Arabidopsis thaliana: one gene and its partners. The protein of the gene in region 1 interacts with the protein of each later gene in a biochemical or structural test. Each region holds a gene or a part of one and is shown on either strand. Other genes may lie near its edges. The genes, in order: MYB42, MPK7, MPK2 and ATMPK8.

Region 1 (4,576 bases):
ATGTCTTTCGACTAATGTTATAGAATAATCAGGTCGTCTCCATTTCTTACTACCATATAAACTAATTAAAGCACGACCCAACCGATAAATTTTCCAAATAAATATAATTTTATTCTAAGAAAGAATCGAATTTAGATATGGGAGTTTCACCCTTCGCCAGAGTTTTCTCTAAACAAAACGTTGTACTTCTTCTAACACAGACTAATCACGCATGTTTTTACAATATTATAAAAAAATGAATTAATTTGGGAAAAGCCCTCTACAGCTAAACTTACAAGTCAGTCACCCATGAAGTGGGAAAGTTTTACAACATAAATTAGATTTAGTTCTGTATACGTACGTGTCAAATAGGTGTTCGTCTTTATAATTTTTCCGTATAGACAACATGCAAAGATATATTACTATAACTCTATAAGATAGCTTATTTGTTAATTAGCCACACGTGTATAAACGTACGACTACGAACAAAAATGTTTACTTACTTTTTGCGGTATTGTCCACGGCAATGCCTAAACTAAGACAACTTCATAACCTTTGACGATGTTAGATTTCGAACACTAATTGTATATTGTTTTTATCGAAAAATCTTTACTATAATAAGTTTTTGTATCAGTAGCAACTAGCAAGTGTCTTTTGTATGTTATTGTGTGTTCAGCTAATTTTAGGATCAACTGTTTTAATAATAAAATATTCCTTTCCAAAGCATTAGGATTTACAAAATTTACCATTCAATCAATGGTTTACACTAAGTCTGAATCACATGCTAAATATATATGCATACCTTCCTATATTTGTTTCATCAAAACATATTCTAATTGAATTTAAACTTTCATTTTGGTGTTAAAGTTCTACTGGTCGTACGCGTGTACATTCGCAGGTATGTACCCTATCATTTCACATTAGTTCAAAAGTCATTTTCAGTTTTCACCAACCAATTAATCAAGGTTTTCCAACACTCCTCAGTTTTCGTAAAATGATATTAATTAAACAACTATAATTAAAATCCATAACAATGATTTATTTTAGACAAAAACATTAACTTTTTTTCTTCACCAAAATGATTTGATCATAAGAAATCGTATATATATCGAGAAAGAAACATTTCTATCGACATTAACAATTCTGTGAAGTATATATATATACGATTTCTAGTTTATCCTCCAAAATGTTTTAATCATCTCACCATCACAAGTTAGTTTATGCACGCATGTGATGTATAAATATTTTATACGTGAAAATGAACCATGCATATATATTATTGTTAGGTATACTGTATACATAGAATATTGATCATCATAAGAAAGGTACAAATTTAATTTCTTGGAAATTGTTGAAATTTCCCCATCACACATACCATATTAATTACCATGTATTTATTTTTTAAAACTATACGTATTCTGGATAATTACTTTTATATATGTATTCAGGTTGTTAATTCAAGTAAATCAAATAACATGTGATGCGTATACCTTAGACGTCGTATATTTCTGTATAGTTACTTTATACCAAAAGCCTATATAATTTATGAACCTAAAGCCTAAAGAATGTTTGCAATAATCTGGCTAATACTCACCATACTTAAATATTTAGATCGTATTTCGTTCTTCTGTACTCTATACACATTTTGTTGGAAGGAAGAATTTTTATTATTACTAAGATCGAACCAAATATTTATATTTTAGCATCTGATATATAATATAATCATGAAAATATTTGATCTAATCATATTATAAAATATTCAATTAACTGCAATCTATGCAATTATAATGATTACTTCCCACGAACAATAATGATTGAATTAAAGAAGATGATTTTAACAATAAATTCCTAACAAAACATATAGCGTCATTAACTATTTGGTTTCACTACTCACCTAAGTGGGTCAAATGAGATACTAATTTTCTAACTAAAATAAAAAATATGTGGTGAATGATGTAAGAAATACTTGGGTTATATATAGGTGGGTGAGCTTAGGTGCTTATAGGCTTTTGACAGAAATCTTCTAATTGGTATATACTTTCTACTTTCAAAATATTTAAGGTCTCATCTCTCTCTCTCAAATTAACACACAAAACATATATAAACAGTCAAATATAAATTAATGGGAAGGCAGCCATGTTGTGACAAGCTCATGGTGAAGAAGGGGCCGTGGACGGCGGAGGAAGACAAGAAACTGATAAACTTTATCTTGACCAACGGCCACTGTTGCTGGAGGGCTTTGCCGAAGCTGGCCGGTCTCCGTCGCTGTGGGAAGAGCTGCCGTCTACGGTGGACCAATTATCTCCGACCTGACTTGAAGAGAGGTCTTCTCTCCGACGCCGAGGAACAGCTTGTCATCGACCTTCATGCTCTTCTCGGCAACAGGTTTGAGCTTGTTTTAACCTTGTATTTCGTTTATATGTAATTGATCATTTGTTATATATTTTTACTACACATTATTAAACATGCATTAACTAAGCCGAATTTGTTAGTAATCTTTTTTTTAACAACAACATGAATTACGGATATAAATCCAAATATCGACAGCACGAGGATATTATCATAAACAACAAGGCTATATTCCAAAAAACAATTTTCGGTAGGAATGTTAAGTACTATATGCCAAATTTCACCAATATATTGTATCATATGCATGTTGTTAGCTAATTATGTATTTACCAAAAATGGTTAATCTTCTACATATAATCATATGATTGTCATCATTATAGTCATATAACCCGAGGTTAAATAACGTTCACCTATACTTATATACAAATAATAATAAAAATTAGTCAATTCTAAGATGTTACTTTTTGTGAAACACAGTAAAAAAACTATTAACATATATGTTGACTAATGATAAATGCTGTAGAAAATGTATTTGTGATGTACAATTGAAAATTAATCCATAATATTTTAATATAAGATAATGTATGGATCATTTGAGACTGAATAGTTTTATAAGAAAACGATATATCTTAATTCAGTTTCCTTTCTTTGAATTAAAGTCTTCTAAATATTTGTATAAAAAAGTTGTACATCTTATTTCAACTTCGAGACAAAGTAACGTTCCTCGTTTCCAAATAGAATATCATAGCGTATATATATTGTCAACTTTCTTGTGTTAGATTCCAAGACACAAGACTTTGACATCTCCACCAACACCTAGCTCAAATCATTATTTTTCAAAGGTAAACATATTCAATGTAACTAAACATATTTCTTAAAATTCTTTTTATGTATATATAGATGGTCCAAGATCGCTGCAAGATTACCAGGAAGAACAGACAACGAAATAAAAAATCATTGGAATACTCATATCAAGAAGAAGCTCCTTAAGATGGAAATCGATCCTTCGACCCATCAACCTTTAAACAAAGTATTTACCGATACAAACTTAGTCGATAAATCTGAAACTTCATCGAAAGCCGACAATGTAAATGATAATAAAATCGTAGAGATCGATGGGACAACGACAAATACAATAGATGATAGCATTATCACTCATCAAAATAGTTCAAATGATGATTATGAATTACTTGGTGATATAATTCATAATTATGGAGATTTATTTAATATTCTATGGACCAACGATGAACCTCCTCTAGTCGATGATGCATCATGGAGCAATCATAACGTTGGTATTGGAGGAACAGCTGCAGTTGCAGCCTCAGACAAGAACAACACTGCTGCCGAGGAAGATTTCCCGGAAAGATCATTTGAAAAACAGAACGGCGAAAGTTGGATGTTCTTGGATTATTGCCAAGAATTTGGTGTTGAAGATTTTGGGTTCGAGTGTTACCATGGTTTTGGTCAAAGCTCCATGAAGACGGGTCACAAGGACTAGCATTTGCAAGAATACATAACATATATACCGATATACTACATAATATGTGTATATAATTTATACGTACGCATCATAAAAGTAATGTAAGAAAAATCATGTAAAGCAGTAAAGAAGCACCATGGTTTTTTCAAAGTCTAATATTAGGGGAACAGAAAAAGGATCACTAGGAGTTATAGTAAGAGTTATTGACTTATTTCCCTATCTTTTATGTCTGTTTCCTGCATTTATTTCAAATTATAATTAGTTCAACCCAACAGTTTTTTCGCCTTGATTTTAAATTCTGTTTTGTATAAATTTAATAATTTATGCTAGGATATCCTTCATTAAATTGATTAAAAATATTGGTAGTCAAATTTTTCTATGTTGATCAGGATTGATTTTTAGAGTAAGTCCATGATTTATTAAATCAACCGGAAAATACAGAGCTTTTTTTTAATTTGTAAAATCGTTGTAAAAAATAATTTTGTTGAATTTGGTGTTCCCCAATAAATTAAAGATGAATTTGGTGTTCCCCAAAATATATAACTATTTGATGATAATTAATTTCAGCGACTTTGATAAAATTTATCTGTGAATTTGAATGATCTCATGATAAAAGTTTACCAAAATTCTAAATTTACAAAACCATCTGGACAACTAAGCTTCTTGTTTATATCTGTTTTATCATTGGCCAGATAATAACACACAAATATGAATTGAGAAAGTAATAAATATATTGCCAGTTTTTTTTTTTTGAAGCTATCATTTTAC
Region 2 (4,616 bases), on another chromosome or scaffold:
TAATCATATTTCTCTTTTCTCTTCTCAACATAACTTAAACTTTTATTGTTCCTTAAAAGACCACGTCAGCATAATTCACTACACTTCTGTTTTCTTCACGCGCCTTAAACATGAATGAAAGAGTTGGGTGAAGGAGTGTGTGGTGAAAGAGTGTGTTGTCATTACACACACCTCATGTGTTACTCTCTGAATTCGGCAACTTATGGTGCTAGATATTTAATTTCTTTTCAGGAATTGGTTATTTAGCTAATTCACCTTTGAAATAAATACACTTATAAAATAAAGTATTTTTAAAACACACTAGTCTTCATATTGGAACTGAAAAAAATAGCACACTTCCTTAGATCATTATTTATAAGATTACTAATATATTCTGAAATTGTTTTGGTAGTACTAAAAAGAACGAAAAATATGAAGTGACACATTATCCAATCTTCCCTTATAATGAATTGAAAACATGTTTGGCGGCTTTTTAAAGGTAGGATAAAAACTAGAGAAAATAACATCTATACTTTTATTAGTTTATACTTTATAGTATGAGAGTATCTAAACTATAAAAAATTATTTCGTGTGGCTAGCAAGTGGGCAATGGCAAAGCTATACAAAATACAAGAGTTGGCCTGAAAATCAGTAGTAAAACTCATCAACTCAAAGATAATGTAACAAAAACAAGCCTTAACTTACTTAGTAACAAACAGTCACATTTACAAAGTGGTAAAGATACTGAGAGCCACTTTTCAAACTCTGTTACTACTACTCACTCACTGCAACTAAATCAAACCAGACGAGATCAAAGCACCGGGCTTTTTATCGATCTGTTCCCGCGTTTGTGGACTCGCTATATATAACATAACATCAAAGCTGCATTTTAGAAAGCAAAAAAAAAAAAAACTGGAAAAAGCTTACTCTTAATGATCATTGATGTTGATTTAGGCATTTGAGATTTCAGCTTCAGGGTGGTAATAAAGCATCTCATTCCACATCATCTCTCTTATCACTGGTTCCTCCATGTTTTCATCTATGTCCAGAGAGATTGGGACATGTGCAGGCGGATTGGATCCAGGATCAAACAACCCCGCCATATACGGGTGTAAGAGCGCATCGGTTACAGAGATTCTCTTGGTTGGATCAAACACAAGCATCCTCTGTAACAAATCTATAGCTAGAGGATTGGCTTGTGGATAAAGATTGGAGAGATGAGTTCCTCTTGAGTACGGAAGAGACTTTATAAACCTTCGAGCTTTCGGGTTGTCTATGAACCGAATATCAGATTCTTGTTGGCTACCAACAACGTTGATGATTAGCTTAAGCTGATTCAAGCATTCTGTTCCTGGAAAAATCGGTTTCCTACCAAGAATCTCCGCGAATATGCAACCAACCGACCATACATCAATGGAGGTTCCATAGTTATCACAACAAAGAAGAAGCTCAGGTGCTCTGTACCAACGTGTAACCACATACTCAGTCATGAACTGTTCATTACCTTGGCTCGTTCTCGCCAACCCGAAATCACAAATCTTGAGATCGCAGTTCGCATTAACTAAGAGGTTCCCGGGCTTCAAATCCCGGTGAAGTATGTTTGCAGAATGAAGATACTTCAACCCTCTAAGCAACTAAACACAACAACAAGAACAAGACTTATTTCAATAACTAAACATACAAAACTCGAAACATAGAGTTACCGAGGAAGGACTTAAAGTTACCTGAAACAAGAAGTACTTGCAGTGATCATCAGAAAGAGACTGAGAGGATTTAATAATCTGATGAAGATCAGTATCCATTAGCTCATAAACCAAATAAACATCCTTGAAACTGGATCTATTAGCAGGCAACATAACATCTTTAAGCGCGATCACATTCTCATGCCTCACATGCCTAAGAAGTTTAAGTTCCCTCAACGTTCTCAAAGCATCAACACGATTCTCAAACACATTGTGAATCTTTTTAATAGCAACTCTCTCATTAGTCTCACGATTGATAGAAGAACAAACCACACCATAAGCTCCTCTTCCAATGGGTTTAATCGGAACATACTTTGTATCGATTTCGAACAATGTTTGCCACATGGAGTAGTAATGTTTCCCTTGTTGCTTAATCCCATTTGGTGGCTCAACTAACATCGCCATTTTCTCTCTGCAAAAACCAAAACTTTCAGTATTTTTCCCCTAAATTGGTAAGATTTTGGAAAAGGGTTTATAGAGAATTTTCGATTTATGAATCATTGAAGCTTTTTTCTCCTTTACGTCTCCAAAAAGTGAAATTCAACTAAGAAAAATTCTCTTTTTAATATCGTTTCCTTTACTTAGCTATCAATCTTACTACTCCATAAGAAAAAAGCAAACTTTGGTTATAAAAATTCTCTTTTTAATATGATAACTCTTGATTAATCATAATCAAAACTCAAAAATTAAGAGTTAAAACAAGCTAAATGAATAAAGAGAAGAAACAGAACAAGAGATCGAACATACCCAATAACTGAATTTACAGAACCCGAGTCGTTGTTGTTGTTGTTAATGATCAGAGATGAAAGAAGAGAAGGGTATGATTGGATCTGAATTGAGATTGCTTCTTCATAGCTAAAACAAGAAGAGATAAGAGAGAGAAGAGTTAGGAAGTGGTGAGACCCATACGGGGAATGGAATGTTAGGGGAAGAGGAAGAAGAAGAAGAAGAAAGGAAGCAAAATACGTTGGTTGATGAAGAAGCTTTGGTTACTTCTTTTCGTTTTTTAGGAAAAAAACAAATTACAAAGTCTTCTAATTACGAAAACGACATTCTTTTTAGATTAGATATTTTTTGTGTAACAAAACTTCAGTTACAAACTATCTTTAATTAAAAAATCTCTAAAGTTTAATGGACTCTTCATGTTTTTTTTTTGCATACAAATCAGGATTGTTATTACTATATTTGGTAATTAGAAAAAAATAATGCATAGGAATTTTTGTAATTAATTAAAAAGATTGAGTAAGATATTTATTAAGTAGAATTTGTCTTGGTATAATATACGTACACGAATACAGAAATTGAGGATTTAAATGGATCAAGTAACCGGCTAAGCACGTGGGTGGACTGAAAAAGTGACACGTGGTAAACGTAGATTGGGAGCAACTTCTTGTTGTTGTCCGAACCGAAGTTTCCACTGGGTGTAGTTAAACCTAACTTAAAAGCCTCAAAAAGTGGTCAACTACAAAACCACTCTTGGTTTGAAGACCTTCTGTCTCTTTCGGAGAGGTTTGAGGATTAGATTAAAAAAAGGATAAGTGTGGCTGATGGATTTAACATCAGATGATGACATAACTAATTTGAGTGGCAAATGGTTGAGTAAACCTATCAGTTGACGAACGCAGATTATCAATCAACTTTGAGTTTCTCCATAGATCTTCGAAGATTCTGTCTCTCCAAACCATCAAGCCCCAATTCATCTTCAACCCTAGTAATTTAGTTTATATAAAGTGTACTTGAATTTTATACGTTGATGTTAAAAATGTTTGCACACTAATCTTTTGTACAAAACTACTTTACAAAATATATTTCTTATAAATTCATTGTTTTCTTTTGTACAAATCAAACATGATCTCGCATATGATGCGGATAAGTGGTAACATCTAAGGATGATATATATATACAGAGACATAACAAAATTCTTTCTTTGGAGATTCTCTTAATTTTAATGTGACTGTAAGATTTAAGTTAATGACATGAGTGCATTGGCCACCTCTAACTCCACTAGAGGCTTCTTCTTCCTCATGTTCCTCACTTACCAAGTGAACTGCACATGGAGATAAAAAGTAAAACAGAACACCATTTTAAACACCAAAACAAAAATTAGTTAAGTAGGCATTGATTTGAAAGCGGACCAGCTTCTTCTTCTTCTTCTTTCTCTCAACGTATGCCACAAGGTCCTCTTGTCGGGTAAGAGAATCATCAAGAGCCTGTGAAGATACAACAACTCTTTAGTGTGAGATAGTGAAAGCTGAGAACAAATCAGTAATATATATGAAAGTTTTTTTTGTTTTGTGTTACCTTCTTGGTTGCAGCAAGTTCTTGTTCCAAGAAATCGGCTCGGCTAATGGCAGCATTAAGCATCTCTTCCTTTTCAGGAGGCATAGTTGCTGGCTGTGCACTCAAGTTTGTGACTTTCTGCTCAAGCTCAGCCATTCGTTTCATGACCGCCATGAAATCTTCCCCTGAGATGGTTGTTGTTGCCATTTTCTTCCCATGCATCGAGCTCTTGTTCATCGAGTTTTCGTCGCAGTAAACCGGGCTAGAGTATATAGTTGACTCGGTTAGCTTCCTTGGAACGTTTTTAGTCACTCTAATCATGGTGACTACACCCATTACAAAAGCCATGACTCCAGTGAAAATAGGAGACCTTCCACTTTCATTTGTAGCTTTGCAAGCTTCTTGAATGGCGTAAACATCCCCTGTTCAAAAACAGAGAAGTACTTAAATTCAAGTTCTTTTAAAAAGGAGTAGTATTTGTCTCTTTAGTAGTGTAATTTGCACATGATCTCTTATACTTTTTGAGAGGGAAAATTTGTGAGCTTCTGGTATGTTCCAAGCTGGATGAGCAACCACGACCTGAGATGTGGGAAGAAATATAAGGAGAATACAAGC
Region 3 (4,378 bases), on another chromosome or scaffold:
TCATCATATGCTTATTAGTTTAATCAAATTATAGACTTAATAGTCCAACCGCAATTTCATATGGATAACTAAAACGAATTTTTGGCGGAATGGTATAGAAATGACTCAATGACATCAAACGCATAAATCAAAGAGATGATGATGAGGAACATTCATTGACTATTAATCGACGAGAAGACTTGACTTGGTCTTCTAGAATCTTTATCTCTTTGGCTCTTGATTTTTTTTTCACATCAATGGTTTCAATAATTAGTGCAGTCCTACATTTTTCCATTTACAAAAGTAAAAAAAGATTCTTATTCACACGCTGTTCATCAAAATATTTTTCCAAAGCATAAATGTTACTAATTATTGACATTTTTTCTATCATTTAAGTTAAATTTAAGTGTGTGATAGACATCAAAATATTTTTATCAAACAAAGCAATTAATACTTCTATTAATGTCACAATATACTAAGTCTGAATTCAGAATTAGGTACATGAAAGTCAAAAACACATTTATAAAAATTCTACGAATCTATGGAACATTCTATGTATCATTGAAAATTATTTCCCAAATAATTTTATTTTGATATTCTATGCATATGTTTTATTTCATGAATTTTTTTAAACAGTGTATATCTTTGTGTTAATACATTTATCTTCAAAATCATATTTAATCCAATGGTTTGCTCTTTGAACATTCGAAAATCTTCAATAAGAAAAATCACCAACAATAAGATCAGAGACAGAGTATGAAGTTTTAAGGACACATACACTTATGTACAAACGTTACAGACACTTAAGCTTGTAACCAAAAACAAAACAAAGCTCCATGACACAAACATATCACATAATTTAAAGTTATTGTTCTTCTTCTTCGACACTATTATTAACAACATTTCAAGAAGCAAACATGAAAATAAATAAGTTTAAGTTGTTGAAAGATCTCTCTGAACAGTACCTGCAAAAGACTTGATCTCAAAACTCAGAGACCTCATTGTTGTTTATGGTAGCAGCTTCTGGATGATAATGAATCATTTCCTTCCACATTAATTCTCTTATCATCTCTGCTCCCAAATCCTCGTCTTCATCTACATCGAGATCAATAGGAACTTGAGCAGGAGGATTTGCACTCGGGTCATATAAAGGCGCCATGTAAGGATGTTGAAGCGCTTCCGTGACACTAATCCTTTTCGAAGGGTCAAGAACGAGCATTTTCTGAAGCAGATCAATGGCTAAAACATTTGCACCCGGGTAAAGACGAGAGAATGATATCCCTGGTGAGTAAGGGAGTGATTCTATGTATCTTTTGGCTTTTGGGTTATCTATAAACTCGAGATCTTCCTCTCTCTGGCTACCCAAAATGTTAATGATGAGTTTAATCTGGTTTAGACATTCTGTTCCCGGGAATACTGGTTTTCTTCCAAGAAGCTCGGCGAATATGCAACCGACTGACCAGACATCAATGGAGGTTCCATAGTTGTCACAACAGAGGAGTAGCTCTGGTGCTCGGTACCATCTAGTCACAACATATTCAGTCATGAACTGACCTTTGGTGTTGCTCGTCCTCGCTAGCCCAAAGTCACATATCTTTAAGTCGCAGTTTGCATTCACAAGGAGGTTACCGGGTTTCAGATCCCGATGGAGAATGTTTGCTGAATGAATATACTTGAGCCCTCGAAGCAACTATGCAAAAGAAATAAAAAGCAAGTAAATGCAAACACCAAATGCAAACAACACACACTAATGGTAAAAGCAAATGCAAACAAATCACATACCTGGAACAAGAAGTATTGGCAATGGTCATTACTTAGAACTTGAGAAGACTTAATAATCTGATGAAGATCAGTATCCATAAGCTCATAAACAAGATAAACATCCTTAAAGCTTCTCTTATGATTAGCCATCATTACATCTTTAAGAGCAACCACATTCTCATGTCGAAGATGACGTAGAAGCTTGAGCTCCCTAAGAGTCCTCAACGCATCAATCCTATTCTCAAACACATTGTGGATCTTCTTGATCGCCACTCTCTCATTACTCTCTCTGTTAACCGAAGAGCAAACCACACCGTACGCGCCTCGGCCTATCGGTTTGATAGGCACGTATTTGGTATCGATCTCGAAAAGTGTTTGCCACATTGAGAAGTAATGCTTCCCTTGATTCCTAATTCCATTAGGTGGATCAACAGGAGTCGCCATTCTTCTACCTCCTTATAAAAACACACAACAAAAGGAATAAAAATCAAAACTTTATCGAAATTGGAACAATCCACAAATTTGAAAATATACACAACACAGAATTTTGAATTGCTTCCAACAAGTGACAATGAAAGATCAAATTTTTAGTTTTGATCTTAGGGTTCTCTAAGCTTAAGTTTACAGATTCAAAGGTTAATATTTTAGATTTCACTAATGATCAAAAGCTTTGTTTAAGAGAAAAGAACAAAAGTTGAATCTTGATCCGATGTTGAGATTGAGCTAGAACGATCTGAATTTTGCAGAGAGAGCTTACCCGTTGAGTGTTGGGGACGAATCAGATTCGTCAGTGACGATCGCCGGCGAGATTTGGGTGGAGAGAAAGAGGAAGTTGGAGAGATTTGGCTGGTGAGAGTGAGAGATTTGGTCAACGCTATGACCGTTGACTCTCTAGTTTCTCGTTCATTACCATTTTAGAGCTGTTTCTTTCTCTGTCTCCTTCACTAATCTGTCTTTAACTTTGGGCTTAATTAAGCCCAACCTGATTTGTAATAATTAACGGTAATTAGATATTTAAGATAGTGAGGAATTAACAAAAAGTGGACGTGCCGGAGTGGTTATCGGGCATGACTAGAAATCATGTGGGCTTTGCCCGCGCAGGTTCGAATCCTGCCGTTCACGTTTTTTCACTTCTTATTTTAACATCGAAACGTGATTATATAACTTCATTAGTAAATGTAAATCTAAGCTTGAAATTTATATTAGCATTTGTTCAATCACAATCTATCAATGCAAAAAAATTTCTAGTCAAAAACTCATGATACAAAGGCTTTACTATATGTACAAGACTAGTAATTGTTCGCTTGTAAAAATCGTTCTGAGTTTTGTCCTTCAATGGCGGTAAATTTTCAAAACTTGTTGTATTCGTTCCCGGCAAAGAGGACAGGTCCTTAGTTGCAAGGAGCATGGTGTGCAGCAGCACATATGACCACACCTACAAGTCCAAACCAAACAAAAAGAGGAATCAAAAGATGCCATGTTTGATCAGTGAGAGGGTTTTCAAGAGCTTTTAGAAGAAAAGCGGTCTTATACTTACTCAACAAAAGCGGTGTTATACTTCTGGTCAAGGCAAACCACACAGAGATCAGGTGTATCACCATCTCTGCTTGTACCACCTGGTAAGACGTTTTTGTAAGCAGAGCAATTCCAAGTGTATGCAGAAAAAGGATTCACATGTTACTACTACAAAGTACAAACTCTAATGGATAGATACTATTACTACCTCCAGTTACTGGTTTGGCTCTCCTAGCAGCTGCATCAACAACTCTGCAACAAGTTACCCAACACTTAACTCGCAACTCGCAACTCGCAATGAATACTTCATACGTGGCTGTGGTTAGGGTGCGTCATACCTTTTCAGTGCGAATTGTCGCCGCCTTCTTTCTAGAGTATCTTCAATTCTCTTTAGAATATATTCAATCACAGGCTTTGAAATAAGAATCACACCAAGAACAGTTAAACCCATGGAGGCATACTTGAACCTCCTGCCAAAAGAAAGAGATCTTTTAGAATTTTTTTCAATCATAGTTTTCGAAGAAAAGAATAGGCAAAAACAGAGAAAAGAAACAACCTTGACAAATCTCCCAATTTAGAGATGAGCTGATCTAGCGGTATATAAGTGACGTAGAAAGGTCCTTGCTCAGGTTTTTGAATCCTGACATTCCCCATGCCATCCCTAACAGCCTGTTAACATGGTAAGCAACATAACAAAGAGAGATATAAAACGTATTTTGGACCGCTAACAGATAAAAGACATACCTCACCAACAACTGTAAGCGGTGTACCAATTGGGACAACACGCTCAACGTGTCTTACTCCAAGTATCTATAGACAACAATGGTGCCACAATGTATAAGCATTGTCAAAACAAAAGCAAATCAATGAAAAGTGGTAGGAAAGGAAAAGAAAAGACCTTAAAGCCTTTAAGATAACCCAACGCTCCTTGAACAAGCGATACCGGCTCTGCCTTTTCAAATACATCACTACCAACCGTCAACGCCAAGCCTAATTCACCTTGAGATACATCTACATTCACACGACCTGTCCCGTCGTCCTATAGGCAACCAATATCATATTTTGTAAATGACTTTAGAAAGTAATACACTCCAATCAAAGTCCAACAGACATACCAGATACC
Region 4 (5,998 bases), on another chromosome or scaffold:
TGAAACCAACTTTTTCTTTAATTTATATTTGTAGTGGTCATAATTTGAAGTCAAATTCCAAAGTTTGGCGGCATGATCCATTAGTATAATGTTAGTTTTTTTTCACTTTTAAACATGCACAAATTCAATTAGTATTTCTACTAAATAATGTAAAAACAGTGTAGCCTAATTGCTTTAACCAATCTGGCGTCTGTGGACTTTGTTCGCCATATATACATCAACTTTTTGCAGTTTCTTTTTCTTATCGAGACTGTAGTTTGGAGTTGGTGAGTAAGCTCCCTGGAGCTCACTTTACTCGACCATACCATTATTTCTGACCTCTTTTTCAAAAACCCGATTTTGTTCATTTTTTTTCTTCTTCTTTTTGTCGTTTTATTTATTTTATTTTGTCGTTATGAGATTAGTCCAAGAATGGTATCAATTCAGATGGACCATGGAATATAAATAATAGATATTAGGTTAGTCTTCGTCATTAAAAAGCCAACTAACACAGCATTATTATTATGTGTGCTAATTTTTTAGTCTTATCTTTTTTACTTTTAAGAAGTCGAGTATGTTCTTCAGGTTAATATAATTTATTATATAAGACCCAATATCCCGGTTTGACCTGGACCGGATCATACCAATCACACAAACTCTCCCAAAGTACTGAAGCAAAGTGAATACTGAATAGTATATAAATAATTTCAAAATATGAGTGTTTAAAGAAAAGAGAGAAACAAAAAAATTACATGGAGATCGATGTTTTTATTTAAAGTTTCATCAAACCCCCAAAACTATTAAATACAACAAATCAAACCCAACCACGAAGATAGATGTGGATGAATGGAGAAACCAATTTCTTTTCACCAGAAAACTTTCGTGAAAAAAGAAAAGAAAAGAAAAAAAATAACTAAATCATTTTTAAGAATTGTGAAGAGAAGCAACTTTATCAGTAAGCTCTGCAACTGTTTCATTATCTTCTTCCTCAGCTATGGTATCCTGCAAACAAAGAGAAAAGAACAACAGTAAGCAAACTTCATCGTCATGTTCCTTTTCAAGATCTTCTGTTTTTCTTTCTTTCTTTCTTTACTAACTAACCTCTTTGTCAGTTTTAGATTGGACACCAATGCATTTAGAACCGCTGATGCTTGCACTCTTCATGAGGTTACGAGCACTGTAACCTCCTCCATTGTCTGCTTCCTCGGATTCCAAGGTTGAAGCCACAGCAGCTGCTGCTCTTCTCTCAACATCACTGCTTTCTTCTGCAGTTTCACCATTTGGAGCAGGAACTCTCTCTCTGCAACATCATCATAGAGAAGCACAATGCTCTCAGAGGGAGATTGAGAAGAGAAGAGAAGAGATAGAGAGATTCTGTGAAAGACATTACCTTGGCAAGGAAGCATGATGTCTGTGAAGTGCAGTACTTCTTCCTCCTCCTGCTGCTCCTGGTTTACCTTGATTTTCTTCAAGATGAGCAAATTGCCTTTTAAATCGGTCTACCCCACTGCGCGTAAACAACAAAAAGATTTATCGAGTTCATAACTTTCTGTTTTCAAGACTTATAGTTTCTGTTAACTGTTAATTAGCTAACCTTGGGTACATAAAGCTAAGCTGATCACCACCACGAAGGTATTCCTCCAACATCTGAGGATGATATTCCAATATCTGATATTTACAAAATCCAAAGAAAAGTGATTGTTAGGATCAATGAATAACATTGAAACAAATTCAGATTAAAGAAAAGGATATATGTAGAAGGCTTTTGTGTTTGTTTGTTACCTCTCGGTAAATTAATTCTCTGACATCATCTTTAACTAACTTCTTTCTCTCAAAGTCAAATTCAAGCTTTGAAATTGGCTGTGTTGTTGGTTCACGCTCTGAATTTGACAAACCACTGAAATATGGATCAGCTAGTGCCTGTAATATGAAAATCAAAAACGACGAATATAAGAGTTTCGTTCTGTATAAAACAAAAGGGAAAAGTAAAGCAAATTTACTTCTCACTTACATCTTCAGCTGATGCACGATCTTTCGGATCAAAGGCAAGCAGGCGTTCCAGAAGGCGGAGAGCCAAAGGATCAGCTTTAGGGAATTTATGAGAGAAAGGGACTGGTTGTTTTTTCCTCATGCTGCTAAGATATCTCCTCGCCTTTTCATTTCTAATCTGTAGAAGTCCAAGATTGCAAAGCTCATTACAAGGATTAAATTACTCTCAATGATGTATGGAACATTAAATTTGCTACAGAAAATATGAACAAGTGTTTTGAGTGACTAACCCTTGATATTGACTCAGGAGGTGGAGTACCAAGAAAGTCAGTCATTAGATCCAATTGGTGCACAACGTTTTTCCCGGGAAACAAAGGCTTACCCAAAAGCATTTCCGCAAAAATGCAACCGACACTCCAGATATCAATCGCAGGGGTATACTGAAATATAACAAGAGTAGACTTAGCTTGAGATGGCTGGTCTTCTCAACAACACTATAGAACCACACAACAATATTCTACAAAATAGAAAACTAGAAGCATTTTCCTGGTAGGGAGAAATAGCAAGAGTAGTTGGGTTTGGTGAAAAAGAATCTTACTTTGGAGAAAAACGATCCACAGAGTTCAGGGGCACGATACCACCGAGTAGCTACATAATCCTACAAAATCCATATAAACGAAATGAGCTCACAAGCATTTGAAAATAGTTAAGAGGAAGCCTAATGAACAGTTTTGCTTTCACATTGAGTTAGATGACTCACAGTCCAAAATATAGCGGTTGGGGCATCGTTAAAAGAAACGCGAGCCAGCCCAAAATCACAGATCTTCAATTTGCAATCAGCATTAGCTAGAATGTTCTTCGGTTTCAAATCCCGATGAAACACATTAGCTGAAAACAGAGAACCCTTAAGTGTTTCAATATTATCTATAACAAAAATCATGAGGATCGAAAGAGACCAATGTGTAAAACCAGAAACTAACCTGCGTGAACATATTTCAGACCACGAAGAAGCTGGTACAAGAAAAACTGATAATGCTCAGGAGTCAAATCATCATTCGCCTTGATCACTTGATGAAGATCAGATTCCATCAACTCAAAGACAACATAAATATCGCGGAATTCTCTGCGAGAAGGAGGTAACATGATGTGTTTAATCTCCACAACATCAGGATGACGAAGCAACCGAAGCAATTTGATCTCTCTGAGAATCCTAGTAGCATCGGAGACATGCTCAAACACATCGTTGATCTTCTTGATCGCAACTCTCTCTCCAGTGTGTGAGTCAACAGCAGAAGCCACAACACCATAACTTCCTTTGCCAACAACCTCTTGAATCTGATACCTGTTAGCTTCTCCATACTCCGTGAAGAATTCAGTTTCACCCTGAAGAATTTTATTCATGATTCATACTTAAAATTGACCAAAATGATGGATCAAGACAATAAGATCAATCAAACGAAACACAAAACTGAAACTTTATCCTTTTGTGGAAGCAAATGCAATAACACAGAACATTAAGAGAACAAAACAAGTCTCTTCAATCTCAATCAAAAGACAACATCTAAGAGCAAATAGCATAAAAGGGTAGAGAAGGAGAAGAAGAAAGGTACCTTCTTGTGAGGATCCATAGGTAAATGATTACGTTTAGGAACGTTAATAAGCGTTAGACCAGAGAAATCGAGATCTTCTTCAATAATAAGCTCTCCAGAGTTAGCGGAATGATTGGGGTTAGAGGAAGAAGAGAAAGAAGAAGAATTGAAAATGGGTTGTTCGTGATTATTATTATTATTGTTGGAAGAAGAAGAAGAAGAAGAAGAAGAAGGTCGCTGAAAAAGCCATCGACGAACACCGTCGACGAGATTCCCACCACCACCCATAGACCACTACTAGATTAGAAAAGAAAAAGATTAGTAATTTACAAAATTGGGTATCCGAAATTCCTTGAGAGCCAAACAATTACCGTCAAGTCACCGTCTTTCTCGCCGCGTCTCTCGGTTTTGTCCTTCGGAGTTGGAGACCATGTTCTTCTCCTATTTTTTCATTTTTTTTTTAATTTTCTTTTTATGTTTTTTTCATTATTTATGCTCAGATATTTATTTTTTTCCCCTGCTTGATTATTAGAGAGAGTGAGTGGAGGGAGAAGAACAAAATATTTAAACCTTTGGAATATTTCGACGACCCGGTTTGTCTATACCGGTTAATGATAACCTGATTCGGGCATATGCATTTATTGAGTATATGGGCCTACAAAGCGGCCCATACAATAAATGTATTTTCGTTCAATCACTAAACGGATTAAACTCAACCGGACAAGGTTCGAAATTAAGAAGATGTTAGATGTTACATTACAAACCGGAATTAAAAGTCTAATTATGAATCTGAGACACAAAAAAAGAGAGAGTAAAAACGCCTTGCTCGTTCGGTCGCGTTGATGATATGAACATATATTTCATCATGAGCTGAGCAGGTCCAGGAGTCTGTTGCGGTTCGAGCACATCATAGTTATTGGGTCATAAATGAATCCGACAGTAGCGTAATCTAAGCATTTTTTAGTGAATAATACGCTTGATGATATATGTGATATGTCATGGGAGGATAATGCATAAGGTGGTGAGCGAAGCATTTTTTCAGCCAAAAAGACAAAATTTTATTTGAATAAATGATATCAAACAAATCCAGATACGCGAAGGAATATTGAATATGGAAAGCACGATCGTAAACAATTCTGCGATTTATCATTTCTTATTTTTTTTAACAAAATGTACGGTTTTGCATGATATATTTGCATTAAAAATGAATTGGTAAGTTTTTAAATAGCTCTATATTTGCATTAAGCTTTGACTGATTGTACAAAAAATAGAGTAATTTTTTAATTACAGTAGCAAAAAAAAGCAAAACAAAATTCAATTCTCTCCAGCTCAAAAATCCACTCTTCATCCTCTACTATACTCGTATCTATCTATCTACTCTACTCTGTTTTACGTAAGTTTTTTTTAGTTGATTTTCTTTTGTCGGACTTTAAGAGAGAGAAAGTGGCGTCTTTGTGGACTTTCTCAATTCAGGAGAGAGTCAAAGAGAAGGAAGAGGCTTCGCTTACTTGCTGAGAAAAAAGCTCCAAACTTTCTCTTATTGGGTTTTTGATCAGCTCCGGAGATAAAAAAAAAAAGTATTTTCTTGAAATCGAAATCTGATCTCCATTGAGAGTCTTGCTACTTGATTTGGATTCCGATTTAAGGTTTTCTCGAGAATTCTTTTGCTGCAGTTATTAGATTTTGACGAGCCGTTGATCTGGACGGAGTTCCAGATCTCCGGGTCGTGGTACCAAGGAATTAGGGTTTTAGCACAAAGTTCTCGTTTTTCTGTGTATTCGAGGGATGAAGGAGTTTTCGGGTCGATGTTCGCTGCTCTAACATTTGGAGTATGAAGATGAACATGAAGAAATTTCTCAAAAAGCTTCGTATCACGCCCAATCAACGAGACGATGGTGAAGGTTCAGTCTCTAACAGAAGCAATAAGTCTAGTGATGCAGAACCATCTCCTTCTGATTCATTGAGGTCTCAAGATAACTCTGAATTCAAACCCTTTTTGGGTTTATCAAATTGGTTAAGCTCTGTTACTCACAGGAAAAGCCCTTCTTCTTCCAATGCCACCAATAGCAAAGAGGATGACACTACCATGGAACATGGTGGTCCCGTTGGGTCGGAATCTGGGATGCAGGGTTTGGGTTCTAGTAGTAATTCCAAGGATCCAGAAGTTGAAGAAGAATATCAGATACAGTTGGCTCTAGAGTTAAGTGCTAGGGAGGATCCTGAAGCTGCTCAGATTGAGGCTATGAAGCAGTTCAGCTTAGGTTCTCGTCCTTCTGCTCCCGAGAATACTCCAGCTGAACTCATGGCATATAGATATTGGGTGAGTTTTTAACTCATTGCTAGACATAGAAACAAATTTCCAATTCACTTAAGCGACAATAGACTATGCTTGAAACAAAATGTGTTAAGTTGATTATAAGTTTATAACTCTTTTCTGTCTC

Evidence for each region.
Region 2: of the proteins of MYB42 (region 1) and MPK7, one has a biochemical effect on the other in vitro, tested with the Arabidopsis thaliana proteins (one large-scale study listed by BioGRID).
Region 3: of the proteins of MYB42 (region 1) and MPK2, one has a biochemical effect on the other in vitro, tested with the Arabidopsis thaliana proteins (one large-scale study listed by BioGRID).
Region 4: of the proteins of MYB42 (region 1) and ATMPK8, one has a biochemical effect on the other in vitro, tested with the Arabidopsis thaliana proteins (one large-scale study listed by BioGRID).

The regions. Positions count from the first base shown.
Region 1 is NC_003075.7:7,322,811-7,327,386, forward strand, and holds MYB42 (myb domain protein 42), read left to right. Parts: upstream 1-1,945; 5' UTR 1,946-2,101; coding exon 2,102-2,364; intron 2,365-3,228; coding exon 3,229-3,826; 3' UTR 3,827-4,057; downstream 4,058-4,576.
Region 2 is NC_003071.7:7,907,249-7,911,864, forward strand, and holds MPK7 (MAP kinase 7), read right to left. Parts: upstream 2,793-4,616; 5' UTR 2,469-2,792; intron 2,134-2,468; 5' UTR 2,127-2,133; coding exon 1,704-2,126; intron 1,614-1,703; coding exon 930-1,613; 3' UTR 526-929; downstream 1-525. Other genes in the region: AT2G18180 (Sec14p-like phosphatidylinositol transfer family protein), read right to left, coding at 3,806-3,931, 4,023-4,423, 4,520-4,580. UniProt on the Arabidopsis thaliana protein: MKK3-MPK7 module acts as a positive regulator of PR1 gene expression.
Region 3 is NC_003070.9:21,882,327-21,886,704, reverse strand, and holds MPK2 (mitogen-activated protein kinase homolog 2), read right to left. Parts: upstream 2,688-4,378; 5' UTR 2,498-2,687; intron 2,196-2,497; 5' UTR 2,185-2,195; coding exon 1,762-2,184; intron 1,670-1,761; coding exon 962-1,669; 3' UTR 654-961; downstream 1-653. Other genes in the region: ZCF61 (E3 Ubiquitin ligase family protein), read right to left, coding at 3,073-3,175, 3,278-3,356, 3,464-3,507, 3,594-3,725, 3,812-3,924, 4,000-4,065, 4,154-4,294, 4,371-4,378.
Region 4 is NC_003070.9:6,243,738-6,249,735, forward strand, and holds ATMPK8 (Protein kinase superfamily protein), read right to left. Parts: upstream 4,076-5,998; 5' UTR 3,929-4,075; exon of another isoform or gene 3,855-3,928; 5' UTR 3,846-3,854; coding exon 3,579-3,845; intron 3,352-3,578; coding exon 2,949-3,351; intron 2,857-2,948; coding exon 2,729-2,856; intron 2,627-2,728; coding exon 2,567-2,626; intron 2,409-2,566; coding exon 2,259-2,408; intron 2,147-2,258; coding exon 1,991-2,146; intron 1,900-1,990; coding exon 1,762-1,899; intron 1,648-1,761; coding exon 1,574-1,647; intron 1,487-1,573; coding exon 1,370-1,486; intron 1,280-1,369; coding exon 1,081-1,279; intron 982-1,080; coding exon 904-981; 3' UTR 561-903; downstream 1-560. Other genes in the region: AT1G18160 (Protein kinase superfamily protein), read left to right, coding at 5,389-5,877. UniProt on the Arabidopsis thaliana protein: MKK3-MPK8 and CAMs-MPK8 modules negatively regulates ROS accumulation through controlling expression of the RBOHD gene during wounding.